Linked DNA regions of Ovis aries. The protein of the gene in region 2 interacts with the protein of the main gene of each other region in a biochemical or structural test. Links are inferred from orthologs where the notes say so. Each region holds a gene or a part of one and is shown on either strand. Other genes may lie near its edges.

Region 1 (5,411 bases), on a different chromosome or scaffold from region 2:
ACTTGGGATCTTAGTTCCCAGACCAGGGATCAAACCTGTGCCCCCTAAGGTGGAAGCCTAGAGTCTTAACCACTGGACCACCAGGAAGATCCCATTGAGTAAGATTTTTTATGAAAGTATCTTGAATACTGAAATTCTGAAAAATTTTGAAAATTTGAGAATGATTCATTTTTGTCTCATGTAAAATGACTTTCTGCCTCATTTTACAGATGCTGCTCCAGTGTCGTCTGGTTTTTAAGGGTAGCATGGGCAGCATGATTTTTTTTCATTTTTATATTTTGTATAAGTTGTTCTGCCTGGATACTTGCAGGATTCTTTCTTCATCCCTGGAGCTCAGTCCTTTCACAAAGGCCAGTGTTGTTCTTGGTGGTTCCATATTTTTCAGTATCTTCTGAGCCGCTGAGTGGTTTCAATCTGCAGGTAGCTCTTTCTTTATTTCATAAATACTTTCTACTGTTCTTTTCAGAGACAGCTTTTTCTGTACTAGCTACTTACTTTGTCTGCATCTTCAGCAATACCAGCTATACAGATGTTACTTTTGCACCATCTGCCCTCTGTATATTAATATACCATTTTCCTCATGGTTCCTTCTCTCTCTGCCCTTTTCCACTGCATTCCCTCAAGCAGGTGCAGGGGCTCCTTCCAGATCCTGTTAGCTCATTTCTCACTGTTTCCTTAGAGTATGTTACTGCTGCTGGCACTCTAAATAGGTAGTGCCCATCTTGCCCATCTTTTTGAGATGGACCTCTCATTCAGGGTTCTATAGAAATAAGCCCAGGAAAAAGACTGAACTAAACTTTGAAAGCAAAAGAACTTGTGAATGGTTTTATTCTGCATGTGAGTATTTTCTCATAGGACAGGGAAAAATGCCATAGATATTTGTGAGTTCCCTTTCACAATGGAAAAAGAAGGCAATTACTCACCTTACGGTCTTTATTAATCATTTCCAAAGCTAATTTGGCTGCAGCGTTTTTGGCTTCCTTCTTTGATTTACCTTCAGCCTTTGGATATTCTTTCTCATCTATTATAACTTGATATGTAAACCTGATTACAATGAAAAATTCAAAGAACATCATAAATTCATGCATTATTTAACTAGCATTCCAATCATAACTGCCTTCTATGACTACCTTTGAAAATTTTAACCTGTGTTCCACATAGAATAATCATAAGGAATTTGATTTAGGCCATTCAGGTATGATCTAAATCAAAGCCCTTACGATTATACAGTGGAAGTGACAAATAGATTCAAGGGGTTAGATCTGATAGACAGAGTGCCTCAAGAACTATGGACGGAGGTTCATAACACTGAACAGGATGCAGTGATCAATACCATCCCCAAGAAAAAGAAATGCAAAAAGGCAAAATGGTTGCCTGAGGAGGCCTTACAAACAGCTGAGAAAAGAAAGAGAAACAAAAGGCAAAGGAGAAAAGGAACATTACACCCATGTGAATGCAGAGTTCCAAAGATTAGCAGGGAGAAAGAAGAAAGCCTTCCTAAGTGATCAATGGAAAGAAATAGAGAAAAACAATAGAATGGGAAAGACTAGAGATCTCTTCAAGAAAATTAGAGACACCAAGGGAACATTTCATGCAAAGGTGGGCACAATAAAGGACAGAAACGGTATGGACCTAACAGAAGCAGAAGCTATTAAGAAGAGGTGGCAAAAATACACAGAAGAACTGTACAAAAAAGATCTTCATGACCCAGATAACCATGATGGTGTGATCACTCACCTAGAGCCAGACATCTTGGACTGTGAAGTCAAGTGGGACTTAGGAAGCATCACTATGAACAAAGGTAGTGGAGGTGATGGAATTCCAGTTGAGCTATTTCAAATCCTAAAAGATCATGCTGTGAAAGTGCTACACTCAATATGCCAGCAAATTTGGAAAACTCAGCAGTGGCCACAGGACTGGAAAAGGTCAGTTATCACTCCAATCCCAAAGAAAGGCAATGCCAAAGAATGTTCAAATTACCGTACAATTGCACTCATGTTACCTGCTAGCAAAGTAATGCTCAAAATTCTCCAAGTGAGGCTTCAACGGTACATAAACCAAGAACTTCCAGATGTTCAAGCTGGATTAAGAAAAGGCAGAGGAACCAAGATCAAATTGCCAACATCCGTTGGATCATCGAAAAAGCAAGAGAACTCCAGAAAAACATCTACTTCTGTTTCATTGACTAAACTAAAGCCTTTGACTGTGTGCATCACAAAAAAATGTGGAAAATTCTTAAAGAGATGGGAATACCAACCACCTTACCTGCCTCCTGAGAAATCCATATGCAGGTCATGAACCAACAGTTAGAAGCAGACATGAAACAATGAACTGGTTCCAAATTGGGAAAGGAGTATGTCAAGGTTGTATATTGTCACCCTGCTTATTTAACTTATACGCAGAGTACATCATGCGAAATGCCAGGCTGGATGAAGCGCAAGCTGGAATCAAGACTGCCAAGAGAAATATGAATAACCTAAAATACACAGATGACACCACCCTTTGGTAGAAAGTGAAGAAAGAGCCTACTGAAGAAGGTGAAAGAGGAGAGCGAAAAAGTTGGCTTAAAATTCAACATTCTAATGGCAAATAGATGGGAAAACAATGGAAATAATGACAAACTTTATTTCCTTGGGCTCCCAAATCACTGCACATGGTGACTGCAGCCATGAAATTAAAAGACGCTTGCTCCCTGGAAGAAAATCTATGACCAAACTAGACAGTATATTAAAAAGCACAGATATTACTTTCCCAACAAAGGTTCATGTAGTCAAAACTATGGTTTTTTCAATAGTCATATTGATGCTTTTGAACTCTGGTGTTGGGAAAGACTCTTGAGAGTCCCTTGGACTGCAAGATCAAACCAGTCAATCCTAAGGGAAATCAGTCCTGAATATTCATTGGAGGGACTGATGCTGAAGCTGAAGCTCCAATACTCTGGCCACCTGATACAAAGAGCTGACTCATTAGCAAAGACCCTGAGGCTGGGAAAGATTGAAGGCAGAAGGAGAAGGGGACGACAGAGAATGAGATGGTTGGATGGTATTACCAGCTCGATGGACATGAGTTTGAGCAAACTCTGGGAGATAGTGAAGGACAGGGAAGCCTGGCGTGCTGCAGTCCACGGGGTTGCAAAGAGTCGGGCATGAGTGAATGACTGAACCACCACCACCACACAGAATCCAAGCAGTCACCCCAAAGAGCAAAACAGCGCACCATTGTGAAGCATGGAAAGGTTTACACACCGTTTTTTCTCTGGAGTCCTCTGAAGTTATCACTTTACATCGAAAAGACTCACCATCTTCTCTGGCAGCTTTGCTCTCATGCTAAAGAACTGACTTCAAAATTGTGCCAAAATTGCTATTCTCCCAGTTTTAATTTTATATGGATATACCTTTTCTTATAGCAACTTACCTATAATTATGTGGAAGTCCTGTCTTAGCCAGTTCACAATACCTAACTTCTACACAGTTCTTTTGTTGGTATTTATTAAGTTCTTCTATGTAGAAACATGGTGAACGACCAGTGGCCATTTTTTTCCTCTAGTAACCTACAAAAAAAGAGATTTTTGAAAGAAGTGATATACTCAGAAAATATTTAATTTCCCCAATTCAGTTTAAGAGATAAAACAGGGTAAGATGACTCTCCTTTATACGACTCATCTCAGCCCCGCAAAAATCCGGAGAAAACTTTCTTACAAGATCTTTCTCTCCCTCTCGCGGACTACAAAATCAAGTTAATTTCTCCAAGATTTTCTACTTTCAAAACTCAACTGGCCAAAAAAGGATGGACGTCCTTCTCCTTAACTTTTCTTTCTGCTTCCCCTGAGTGTCAAGTGCAAGTCTGTCCATCTGCTTAAAAAGATAAAAGCCTGAAGGAAGAGAATTAGAATTATTTTTGTTGAGAATAAAAAGGTTGAGTGTATATATAAAGTTTATGAAATCATGAAGGATTTAGTTGTACGGACAAAGATTCTCCTATGAAACCCCACAAAACTTCCACTTGAAATTTTCAGAAGTCAGCTTTAGGACAATTTACTTGGTAGACAAATTAGGCCCTAGTTTATGGTTCTCACTGGATGAAGACAGTAACAATGATTCAAATTACAAATAAAACCTAAAGAATATAGAATCTAAATATAAGAGCCAAAGCTGTAAAACTTTAAAAGTAAATATAAGGGTGAATCTTCACAATCTTAGATTTGGCAGTGGAATCTTACCTATGACAGCAAAAGCATAGCAACAAAAGAAAACATAAATAAACTGGACCTCATCAAAATTAAAAATATTTGCATATCAAAGGACACTATGAGGAAAATGAAAAGACAGTCTTCAGAAAGGGATTTTTATAAATAATATATCTGATAAAGATCTGGTATCCAGAATATACGAAGAACTTTTACAACTCAACAATAAAAAGAGTTAAGAAATTAAAAAATAGGCAAAGGATTGAATAGATATTTCTCCCAAGAAGACATACAAATGGCCAACAAGCACACGAAAAGATGTTCAATATCATTACTTATTAGACAAATACAAATCAAAACCACAACTAGATTCTACTTCACACCCACTAGGCTGGTAATAATAATAATAGAGAAAATAAATGTATTGGTGAGAATATAGAGAAATTGGAAACCTCATATATCACTGATGGAATGTAAAGTAATGCAGGCTCTATGATATTTGACGGTTCCTCAAAGAGTTAAACTTAGAATTACCGTGAAAGTGAAAGTCACTCAGTCGTTTCTGACTCTCTGCAACCCCATGGACTCTACAGTCCATGGAATTCTACAGGCCAGAATACTGGAATGGGTCACCTTTCCCTTCTCCAGCAGATCTTTCCAACCCAGGGATCGAACCCAAGTCTACCGCATTGCAGGAGAATTCTCTTACCAGCTGACCCACAAATACCACCCATCAATTTCACCCCTTTGGTGTATATCCAAAGAATTGAAAAACAGGTTTTCAAATACTTACACAGGAATATGCAAAGCAGCACTAGTCACAATAATCCAAAAGTAGAAACAAATCAAGTATCTATCAGCTGCAGAAAAGGTAAACACAAGGCTGTACATCTACACATGGAATCTTATTCAGCCCTAAAAAGGGTAACGTATTGAAACACGCTATACCATGGTTAAACGTCAAACCATGCTAAACTAAAGAAGTCAGACATAAACAGTAACAGAGCATGTGATTCCATTTATGCGAAACATCCAGAATAAGTAAATCCATAGACAGAAAGTGGTCCCTGTTGACCTCTCGTTTCTTATCAGAAAGCTCTTCTGATTTTCCTTCTTCAAAGGTCACAAGTTCTTTCTGACACTCCTTAATCTCCACAGCCTTTACATGCTGGAGTTTCCCCCAAGACTTGGTCCAAAAACACTATTCTCTTCACTCTAGACTTTC
Region 2 (5,411 bases):
CAGACCTCAAGGACTATACCATAAAAATGCTCCACGGTGTAACTGTGAACAGAGTTGTCATCACTCCCAGGAAACCACTTAGAAGATTCTTTTTAAATTGAAGAAAGCAGGAAGAAAGTAAAAGATCAATCTGCCTTAAAAATGAGTACCGCGAATCTTTCTTAATTATAAGGTCAGTTATCTCTCTCTTAGTACAGTTTTGTCATTGCTGTGATGCATTCTTGGGCTTCCCTGGTGGCTCGGACCAGTCAAGCGTCTGCAGTGCGGGAGACCCGGGTTCGATCCCTGGGTTGGGAAGATCGCCTGGAGAAAGAAATGGCAACCCACTCCAATACTCTTGTCTGGAAAATTCCATAGACTGAGGAGCCTGGTAGACTACAGTCCATGGGATCACAAAGAGTCAGACATGACTGAGCGCCTTCACTTTTTGCATTCTTACTATGCTTAAAATAACTGCACATTTCATTAAATAAATATGCAGCAATTATTAGGGGGGAAAACCAGAGTATCACAAATCAAGTTTCCCCAGAAACATACCCTTACTGTTTTCAATCTTAAATGCTTTACTTGTTTTAAAACCAAAACTTGTCATTAAGGGCTATAAGTCTCACTTCTTTTAAAATCATCTCATTTAGATGTTCTTAGTATAAGGTCACATGGAAAAGGTCACAAGACAATATATATGAAAGGATTCTGTACGACTACTGTATTGGCCTTGGTTATCCTCCAAAAATAGAGCACTGCTTTTATTCAAGGTGCTTACAACATCTAGCAGGAAACTCTCTCTGCTACTTGAACAAAGCTGGATAAGCAGCTGTCCTGACATTTACTAACAGCTTGCAATGTGGGAGACCCAGGTTCACTCCCTGGATAGGGAAGATCTACTGGAGAAGGGAATGGCAACCCACTCCAGTATTCTTACCTGGAGAATTCCATGGACAGAGGAGCCTGGCGGCTATAGTCCATGGAGGCACAAAGACTCGGACACAACTGAGCAACTGAGTGACTAACACTTTCACACTTTCTAGGGATCATAGAGGGTTATTTTATATTTAGGCATATACGTCACATATATGTCTGATGTATGTCTAACATGTATATGCACAGAATACGTACAGAGGCATAAAACACACACTCATATATATGCATAGATAAAACTCTGAAAGATATAAATCCAAAATGAGCAGTGATTACCTCTGCATGATATGAGATCTGTAACTTGAGTTTTCTAGTTTGTTATTCATCTTTTCTAACTTGTCTACAATAAAGCAAGCTAAAATTTTTATTTTTATATTCCTCTGTACTGGATTCAACAGCAGAACTCTTTCCTTACATGGTATATCTTTCATGTTCCACCAAGAAAGTATGATTTACTAAGAAAATGATTTTTAGGTTCTCTGCCATTTTTCTAAAATCACCAACATCTCCAGGTAAACTTGTTCTAAACAAAAGGATATTAAACGGACTAACTGCACATATATCAACTTCGAGGTATTGCGTATCAAATTCCTTAAAGATTTACCTTCATCATACATTTCTTCTATTAAATAGGCCTCTGCTCGGTCTTTCAGAGCATTCACATTGTCAGGTTCTACCTGTAAAACTTCTGAACATACTCGAATAGCTTCAACAGGCTTCTCATCCTAAAGGTAAACGTAAGAAAAGAACTTATGGTTGTTATTCCATATGTCAAGTTTTACAATTCTGGAAATGAGTCAGCAATTTACCTTAGAAAAGCAGTGGCAAATCCTTTCTTTTGAACGAATTGTGTATTCATGAACACCTGGCTCTGTTTTCATGACAGATTCATATTTGCTGATTGCATCTGTGTACCTATTAAATGATCAAATCATGATGAGTAAACTGAATTCTATTTCCAGAGCTAAAGAAAAGGACCCTCTACTCATCACTATCTGTGGCTTCATCAACTGACCTGAATGAGCACATGCCCTCAAAGACTCCTTCTCCCTTATAATCTACAGTAGTAATGAAGGTTCTCTCTGCAAGTAAGGGTTGAAACACCTGGCCACAGAAAAAGTATATGGATAAATTAAAGCACCCTTTTTGAGTACTAACTGATCAAATCAAATGACGGATTCTTTATAGAAAGCAGTTCTTGATTTTGAAGCTGAGGAAAACACTTTGTTAAAGTCTGACTGCCACAAAGCACCTTGTAGACAACTGAGATCAGGTTTTACACACTTGGTTACTACACATTTTATAAAATCACAGAACCCATTATGTGTTATTTTATATAATAAATATCAATATTCATAACTGAATACAAGGTAATTTCTTGCAGAAGAAACCCCCAACTTTACTAACTTTCTAAGAACAATAAAAGCTACTTCAGAATTGTTTTAAACTGGTGAAAAATACTAGTCATGTTATGCACTGTTACTTTCCTCAGTAACAACAAACTGTAAGATATATCTACATGCTGCTGTGGCAGATTATTCCAAAAGTGCTACAATCTTCACATTTAAATGCTGCTTTATTAAAATACAGGTTTAAAGATAACACTTAGAGCAAAAGGTAGCCATCAATGTCAAAATCCTAGTTGGGATGCTGTTTTGTAGATTTCTAACATGGGGGGGAAACTATACAGAGCGTGTGAGGCCTCACTTTCTCTCTTAAAACCACACATGAAACTAATATTAGAAATTAAAAGTTCAATTACAAACAGTATCTAACTTTACATAAACGATATCATAATAAACTATTTTTACATCAGAAAGAAAGCTCAATTAGAAAATAATGTGCTTCACTTAAAAAAAAAAGCCTCTGGGAAGGTGGAGCAGAGGCGGTTTCCCCACCCCTCCAGCTGGACGCCTGTGTCAACACCTTGCAAGCATGAGAAAATTATGGCCCCAACCCCCACCAACATCAGCAGCTCACAAGACCTCTGGTGAGCCTCTAATGAGGTGTGTCCACATCCCAACCAAGGTGGTGCTGGAGAACATCAAGTTGGGAGCCAGAACTTTCACCCCTGATCAGAACTGAGTCCCCCAAACTCTCACCTACACCAAGCAGTAGCAGGAGAATCCCACAGCTTGAGCAGCAACAAAGGCCAACTGGGAAACGTCTACATTCATCTTCCAGTTAACCAGGTGGTGCCCACCCTCCAGCCCCTCATGCTCACTTTGCAGAAACAATGTCAGAAAAAGCCACCCAAAACAGAAGAATCAAAAACCAGAATCTTATAAAATGAAAATATCCAGATTTCAATTAAAAACTAATCATCATACCAAGAAACAGGATCTCCAAACACCACCAAGAGGACAGGGATGTTAGAATTATGACAAAGATTTTAAAGTAGCCACACACACACAAAAAAAAGCAATTAACAAGCAGGCTAAAAGCAAATGGAAAAATATAATGCCTCAGAAAAGAAATGGAAAGTCTCAGCAAAGAAATAGAAGATATAAAAATTCCAGATAGAATTTTTAGAACTGAAAAGTATAAAAACCGAAATAAAAAGCTCACCGCATGTGCTCAACAGCAGAATGCAGAGGACTGAGAAAGGGTCAGTGAATTCAAACAACAGAAATTACTAAATTTGAACAACAGAGAAAATGAAAAACAGAAATGAATAGAGCTGCAGGGACTGTGGGGCTAAAACCAAAAAAAAAAAAAAAAATCTAATATTTGTGAAAGTGAGAAGTAGATTTAAGGGACCAGATCTGATAGAGAGTGCCTGATGAACAAATGTAGGACGTTCATGACTTTGTACATGAAATAGGAATCAAGACCATCCCCAAGAAAATGAAATGCAAAAAAGCAAAATGGCTATCCAAGGAGGCCTTACAAATAGCTGTGAAAAGAAGGGAAGTGAAAAGCAAAGGAGAAAAGGAAAGATATAAGCATCTGAATGCAGAGTTCCAAAGAATAGAAAGGAGAGAGAAGAAAGCTTCCTCAGCAATCAATGCAAAGAAATGGAGGAAAACAATATAACAGGAAAGACTAGAGATCTCTTCAAGAAAAGTAGAAATACCAAGGAAACATTTCATGCAAAGATGGACTCAATAAAGGACAGAAATGGTAGGGACCTAACAGAAGCAGAAGATATTAAGAAGAGGTGGCAAGAATACACAGAAGAACTGTACAAAAAAGATCTTCATGACCCAGATAATCATGATGGTGTGATCACTCACCTGGGGCCAGACATCCTGGAATGTGAAGTCAAGTGGGCCTTAGAAAGCATCACTACGAACAAAGCTAGTGGAGGTGATGGAATTCCAGTTGAGCTATTTCAAATCCTGAAAGACGATGCTGTGAAAGTGCTGCACTCAATATGCCAGCAAATTTGGAAAACTCAGCAATGGCCACAGGACTGGAAAAGGTCCATTTTCATTCCAATCCCAAAGAAAGGCAATGCCAAAGAATGCTCAAACTACCGCACAATTGCACTCATCTCACACGCTAGTAAAGTGATGCTCAAAATTCTGCAAGACAGGCTTCAGCAATACATGAACCATGAACTTCCTGATGTTCAAGCTGGTTTTAGAAAAGGCAGAGGTACCAGAGACCAAATTGCCAACATCCGCTGGATCAGGGAAAAAGCAAGAGAGTTCCAGAAAAACATCTATTTCTGCTTTATTGACTATGCCAAAGCCTTTGACTGTGTGGGTCACAATAAACTGTGGAAAATTTTGAAAGAGATGGGAATACAGACCACCTGACCTGCCTCTTGAGAAACCTATATGCAGGTCAGAAACAACAGTTAGAACTGGACATGGAACAACAGACTGGTTCCAAATAGGAAAAGGAGTACGTCAAGGCTGTATATTGTCACCCTGCTTATTTAATTTATACGCAGAGTACATCATGAGAAACGCTGGGCTGGAGGAAGCACAAGGTGGAATCAAGATTGCTGGGAGAAATATCAATAACCTCAGATATGCAGATGACACTACCCTTATGGCAGAAAGTGAAGAAGAACTAAAGAGCCTCTTGATGAAAGTGAAAGAGGAGAGTGAAAAAGTTGGCTTAAAGCTCAACATTCAGCAAATGAAGATCATGGCATCTGGTCCCATCACTTCATGTAAGATAGATGGGGAAACAGTGGAAACAGTGTCAGACTTTATTTTTCTGGGCTCCAAAATCACTGCAGGTGGTGACTGAAGCCATGAAAATAAAAGACACTTATTCCTTGGAAGGAAAATTATGACCAACCTAGACAGCATATTGAAAAGCAGAGACATTACTTTGCCAACAAAGGTCCGTCTAGTCAAGGCTATGGTTTTTCCAGTAGCCATGTATGGATGTGAGAGTTGGACTATAAAGAAAGCTGAGTGCCAAAGAATTGACGCTTTTGAACTGTGGTATTGGAGAAGACTCTTGAGGGTCCCTTGGACTGCAAGGAGATCCAACCAGTCGATGCATCCTAAGGGAGATCAGTCCTATGTGTT
Region 3 (6,090 bases), on a different chromosome or scaffold from region 2:
AAATAAACCTCAAACACAACTACTTACCACCTCCACCTCTATAAACTTAGATTACTGCAATTAAACCTGGATTACTCCAACTGCCTTTAACTGGTCTTTCTGCTCTCACCTTTGCTTCCCTACAATGTACTCATCAAGTTAGCCAGTGATTCTGTTAAATATTTAAGTCTCTCTTCTAAACCCTTTGAAGACTTCCTATTTCACTCAGGATGCCATTGTGCTTTCCACAGCCTACAATAACCTACACAATTTGCACCTACCACAAACACATGTACATTTTTCTGGTCTCATCTCTTCCTCTCCCATGTCCCTTTGGGCTTCCCTGGTGGCTCAGAAGGTAAAGAATCTGCCTGCAATGGGGAAGACCATGGTTTGATCCCCGGGTAGGGAAGATCTCCTGAAGAAGGGAATGGCAACCCACGCCAGTACTCTTGCCTGGAGAATTTCATGGACAGAGGAGCCAGGCAGGCTACAATACATGGAGTGGAGAAAAGAGTCAGACGCGACTGAGTGACTGACCTTCCTTAAATCAGCTTGAGGACTCCTGCTTGTACCTCTAACAAGCATGCCCTGCCTTTACATTTACTGTTTCTACAGACTGAAATGTACTTCCCCTGGACACTTCCATGGGTGACTCCCTTACCTACTTAGGGTCTTTGCTCAAATAGACTTTCTTAGTGAGGCCTTCCTGATAATCCTGTTTAAAATAGCAACTGTGCCTCCCCTGCTGCTGCTGCTAAGTCACTTCAGTCGTGTCCAACTCTGTGAGACCCCATAGACGGCAGCCCACCAGGCTCCCTGGTCCCTGGGATTCTCCAGGCAAGAACACTGGAGTGGGTTGCCATTTGCTTCTCCAGTGCATGAAAGTGAAAAGTGAAAGTGAAGTCGCTCAGTCCTGCCGGACTCTTAGCGACTCCATGGACTGCGGCCCACCAGGCTCCTCTGTCCGTGCGATTTTCCAGGCGAGAGGACTGGAGTGGGGTGCCACTGCCTTCTCCGGTGCCTCCCCTACTACTCCTATTCCCCTACCCTCCCGGGCCCCTCCCGTCAAACATTTGCTTTTTCTCCATAATATTATGACTGTGTGGATCACAATAAACTGTGGAAATTTCTGAAAGAGATGGGAATACCAGACCACCTGACCTGCCTCTTGAGAAACCTCAGGAAGCAACAGTTGGAACTGGACTTGGAACAACAGACTGGTTCCAAATAGGAAAAGGAGTATGTCAAGGTTGTATATTGTCACCTTGCTTATTTAACTTCTATGCAGAGTACATCATGAGAAATGCTGGGCTAGAAGAAGCACAAGCTGGAATCAAGATTGCCAGGAGAAATATCAATAACCTCAGATATGCAGATGACACCACCCTTATGGCAGAAAGTGAAGAGGAACTAAAAGCCTCTTGATGAAAGTCAAAGTGGAGAGTGAAAAAATTGGCTTAAAGCTCAACATTCAGAAAACAAAGATCATGGCATCTGGTCCCCATCACTTCATGGGAAATAGATGGGGAAACAGTGGAAACAGTGTCAGACTTTATTTTTGGGGGGCTCCAAAATCACTGCAGATAGTGACTGCAGCCATGAAATTAAAAGACGCTTAGTCCTTGGAAGGAAAGTTATGACCAACCTAGATAGCATATTGAAAAGCAGAGACATTACTTTGCCGACTAAGGTCCGTCTAGTCAAGGCTATGTTTTTTTCCAGTGGTCACGTATGGATGCGAGAGTTGGACTGTGAAGAAAGCTGAGCACCAAAGAATTGATGCTTTTGAATTGTGGTGTTGGAGAAGACTTTTGAGAGTCCCTTGGACTGCAAGGAGATCCAACCTGTCCATTCTGAAGATCAGCCCTGGGGTTTCTTTGGAGGGACTGATGCTAAAGCTGAAACTCCAGTACTTTGGCCACCTCATGCGAAGAGTTGACTCATTGGAAAAGACTGATGCAGGGAGGGATTGGGGCAGGAGGAAAGGGGACGACAGAGGATGAGATGGCTGGATGGCATCACCGACTCAGTCGACGTGAGTTCTGAGTGAACTCCGGGAGTTGGTGATGGACAGGGAGACCTGCCGTGCTGCGATTTATGGGGTCGCAAAGAGTCGCAGACGATTGAGCGACTGAACTGAACTGATTCATCACCATCTGATACACGGTGTATCTACTTATTTTCCCCCACTAGAATGTAAACTCCATGAGAACAGAGTCTTCGTTTTAGTTATCTATTCTCTCTCAGTGCTCAGAACAATGTCTAGTACATAGTAGGCCTTCTATAAATATTTGTAGAACAGCACGCTATATTATAATTGGCTACTTATATATACATTATATATCTACCTCCTTATATTGATTGTAAGCTTTCTGCAGGCAGGAACGCTGTCTCGTAAACTCTGAATTTCTGGGACCTCTAACGTTAGTGCCCTGACACACACAGTAGATACTGACCTGAAATGAATGAACCAACAAGACATGCCAAGGAAAAATCCTCAGACTTTCAAATACAGTCCCTACTCTATCACTCTCTAAATATAAGTGAGAGCGGGTGTGTTACCTCAAGGATGACGTTTCAATAACAACTACCAAGCCCTCTCGCGTACCCGTCCTCTCCCACGCCCGTTATCCCCACATTAACCAAGTGAGATAATGAGTAACGGTCAGAAACAGAATTTGAACCATGAACAAGTCCGAAGGAAGGGAGTAGTTGTGACTGGAGATCAAAGGTGGTCAGACTTCGAAAAGAAACATTGTCCCGGGGATAGAAGGGCCCCGGAGACCACAACCATAGATTCCAGGTCCCTCTTTTGACAGCTAGGCTAACTAAAGCCCAGAGAGGAAAGCGGCTTGTCCGAGGTCACACAATAAGCAAATCAGGGCGAGAACCCACCTTACCCACTCGCGCCGCCCAGTTGCCTCTTATTCGAGTCGTGCCCAACACGCAGAGCCCCCGCGGACACACGTGCTCCGAGGCCCCCGAGCGCCCGCCGCCCACCGCTCCAGGCCAGCTCCCCACCTCGGAGCCGGGTTTGGGTCAACAATTGTGCGCCCCCCCCCCCCAATACGCTCCTCTTAGCCCTGGAGCTTGCCCAGGGCCAGCGGTTGGCAGCACGAACCGCCGAAGAGGGCCCGGGCTACCAGCTCCGCGCCCGCCGCTCACCTGGCCGGATCCCGCGGGAACCTAAAGAAGGCCAGGTCCGATTGCGTGCTCTTCCGCGTGCAGTTGGGGGCCGCGCAGAAGTTCGGCATCGTTGTCTGCCCGCCGGCCGACCCAGCCCTCCCCTCCCCGCCTCCTCAGGGCAGCCCGCCCGCCCGTCGGGGCCGGGGAGGGGAGCCAGGCCGGCCGGCCGGCCCGTGAGGGCCGGTTCGCTGGGGGGGAGGGGCGGGCGAGAAGCCGCGAGGGGCAGGAGGGGCGCCGCGGTCCGAGGCCGGGCTGGGGACGCGGCTCCACAGTGCTGTGAGCGGCCGGGAGGATTTACCGCCGCCGCCGCCGCTGGTGCACCTCCCGCCCGCCCGGGACGCTGCCGCCTCCTTCCCACAATGCACCCTGGCGCCCGGGGGTGCCCTCTCTTCCCTCAGCCTTCCTTCCCCGCCCCCTCCTTTCCGCCGACTTCTCCCCGGGCGGGTACGCGCAAGGAAGCGCGCCCGCTCGGGTGTGGCGAAGCAGAGGCGGGGCCTGGCGCAGGCTGCCGCAGTGCGCCTGCGCACGGCCTACCCGCGAAGGGAGGGAATGGCGCATGCGGGCGTGTCTCCAGGGACTCTAGAGGCTCCAAGCCCTCTGCAGCTCCGGTAGGTTTGGCGTGCGCGGGTTTCCGCAGAGCCTGCACGTTACAACACCGATGCGTCGTTTCTTGCTTCTTTAAATTGCCACCACGTAGGCTTCTACTGCAGAGATTGCCTTAGACTCTTCAGAGCCGCGGTCAACTGGACGATCTTGGTGACTGATTTGCACACCCCCATTAGATCTTCGTGCCCGAGTTGGACGCAGACGTGGGTTGTAGGAGATTTCATTTTCCCCAGCTTTGCAGCTACACTGTGGCCCCGTTAGCTTCTAGATTGGAAGCCCCAGGGGTTAAGATTCAGAAAAGCAATTACTCTTACCTCATGAGGCTTCCAGAGGAGCAAGAATAGCGGCTTGATTCCACCTGCACCCCTATAGAGATTGATCCCTCTGTCTTTCCTTCACAGTTGTGGCATTTTAACGTTCTGTGTTGCTTAAGCCCCAAAATGAGTGACCGATACCTAGAACAAAGGATTAGTATCAAATTTTGCGTGAAACTGAACAAGTCTGCAAGTGAGACTCACCATCTTTTAAAAGAAGCTTACGGGGATGAAGTCATGTCAAGGGCCAGAGTTTTCGACTGGCACAAAAGGTTTAAAAAAGGACGCGAAGACATTCGAGATGATGCCAGAAGTGGTCGTCCTGTCACCCACCGGACGGATGAAAATATTAAGAAAGTCAAGGACTTGGTCTGTTCGAATAGGCAGTTAACCGTGAGGATGATGGCCGAAGAGTTAAATTTAGATAAAGAAACTGTTAGGCTCATTCTGAAAGAAAACTTGAATATGAGGAAAGTATCTGCAAAAGTTATATCGGGTATTTTGAAGGATGAACCTAAACCTCGGAAACTTGACTTTTGCTCTGATCTTTCAAAGGAAACTAGGAAAAACAGCTCATGTGTGAGGAAAAAGGTAAGGAATTCTGAAGCATGCAGTCATCTCCAATGAGAAGCTGGTGAGGAAATGCCTCTGCCTGTATCCCATCCCAAAATCCGTTTCCCTGCCAGCCAGCTGCTGCAGACTTGTCTTCAACCAGCCTTCCCAGCAGGACAGCTCAGGGTTGGTTCACACACCGTGGTGAAAGGAATGTGGGGTGGCTGAACCCAAACTGGAAAGCTGCCTAGCAGTTAGGCACCTTCATTTGCTGCTCATTTATTTTCAGCGTCTTTACTGCTCCTCTCTGTATGTCATATCTCTGCTAGTCACTCTTTACTGAACTCGTGGGCCAGCTTCCTTGCCATTTTCCACAACTTTGAAGAATTTTTGGCTATTGACTTCTGGTACTTGCTTGTGCTTAATTTTTTCCCCTTAACAAGTTTTTTCTTCACTGACCAGACCTTAGCTTGATGTGGCTGTCCTCTTCCTTTGTTCTCAGTATTCTGCCTCGGATCATACGAATGAAAGGTGGGAGCATGACCTCTTGGAGTCTTTCTCTCTGTGTGCCTAGGGAGGCATACTCTGCTGGGAGGACCCTGAAAGAAGGCCTACAGTTCCAACTTGCTTCACAGTCAGGGCCTGAGGTATGGTACAGAAGGCAGTGGCATGCTGACATATGGAGCAATGCTAAGGGCCTGTCCAGCCCAAATGACTCAGAGGGAGCCCCTCAGAACTCAGGAGTTAGCCTCCCATCCTGACTTTCTCACAGACCTACCCCTCACAGAAGAGCTGGGTTTGTTTCATTCTAATCTTGTGCTTTGGACTCCCCTCCACCCACTTCATTTGGGTGTATCCTGTCTCATGGAGAAGGAGGATCTGGTCCTGAAAAATATAAACCAGAGGATTCAGGTCCAGGCTATGATGTGTATAGAGTAAGAAAAGGTAACACTCTAGACCTTGAATTCAGGCAGTCTTTTGCCTCTGTGCTGATCCCACATATCAGCTATTTTTAGTAACTAATACCAACATTGTCAGGTATTTTTTTGAACACCTTCAGTGTTTAGAACACTGCTGAGCACTGACAGTATGAGGTTATGAAATAAGATCACCAAGGGCTGGGTGGACTTCATGCATGAGGTGGTTCCTGGACTGGATCCTTAGGAAATTAGGCACATTTCCAGGCAGGTAGAACAGAATGAGGTTTTGAACCTCTTGTCAGTAGGAAAATGAGGGCACTATTGGATGAAATAGCAAAGTCTAAAGAGGAAGATAATAGTGTTGTGCAGAAGATGAACAATTTGAGATAATTTGCTTCCTCTCCTCTGCCCCAAACTCTGTTCTAATAGTTTATAAATTGCTTCCCCCTGAGTCTGTAGGCAAGTTTGTAATAGCCCACTTATTTGATTATCTAATTTTTTCATCAAACCATCAAAAAGAAGCAGTCTTT

What was found.
Region 1: the proteins of DNAJC3 (region 2) and EIF2AK2 form a complex in vitro, tested with the Homo sapiens proteins (2 studies listed by BioGRID). The link is inferred for Ovis aries from reciprocal best matches to the Homo sapiens genes DNAJC3 and EIF2AK2.
Region 3: the proteins of DNAJC3 (region 2) and THAP12 form a complex in vitro, tested with the Homo sapiens proteins (2 studies listed by BioGRID). The link is inferred for Ovis aries from reciprocal best matches to the Homo sapiens genes DNAJC3 and THAP12.

What each region holds. Positions count from the first base shown.
Region 1 is NC_056056.1:86,918,312-86,923,722, reverse strand, and holds part of EIF2AK2 (interferon-induced, double-stranded RNA-activated protein kinase), read right to left. Parts: intron 3,551-5,411; 5' UTR 3,534-3,550; coding exon 3,415-3,533; intron 2,454-3,414; exon of another isoform or gene 2,286-2,453; coding exon of another isoform or gene 2,266-2,285; exon of another isoform or gene 2,081-2,265; coding exon of another isoform or gene 2,003-2,080; exon of another isoform or gene 1,788-2,002; coding exon of another isoform or gene 1,738-1,787; intron 1,045-1,737; coding exon 924-1,044; intron 1-923.
Region 2 is NC_056063.1:72,445,314-72,450,724, reverse strand, and holds part of DNAJC3 (dnaJ homolog subfamily C member 3), read right to left. Parts: intron 1,834-5,411; coding exon 1,728-1,833; intron 1,644-1,727; coding exon 1,523-1,643; intron 1-1,522. UniProt on the Homo sapiens protein: Involved in the unfolded protein response (UPR) during endoplasmic reticulum (ER) stress.
Region 3 is NC_056068.1:54,559,618-54,565,707, forward strand, and holds the start of THAP12 (52 kDa repressor of the inhibitor of the protein kinase), read right to left. Parts: upstream 3,590-6,090; 5' UTR 3,237-3,589; coding exon 3,148-3,236; intron 1-3,147. Other genes in the region: protein GVQW3, read left to right, coding at 4,215-4,679. UniProt on the Homo sapiens protein: Upstream regulator of interferon-induced serine/threonine protein kinase R (PKR). May block the PKR-inhibitory function of DNAJC3, resulting in restoration of kinase activity and suppression of cell growth.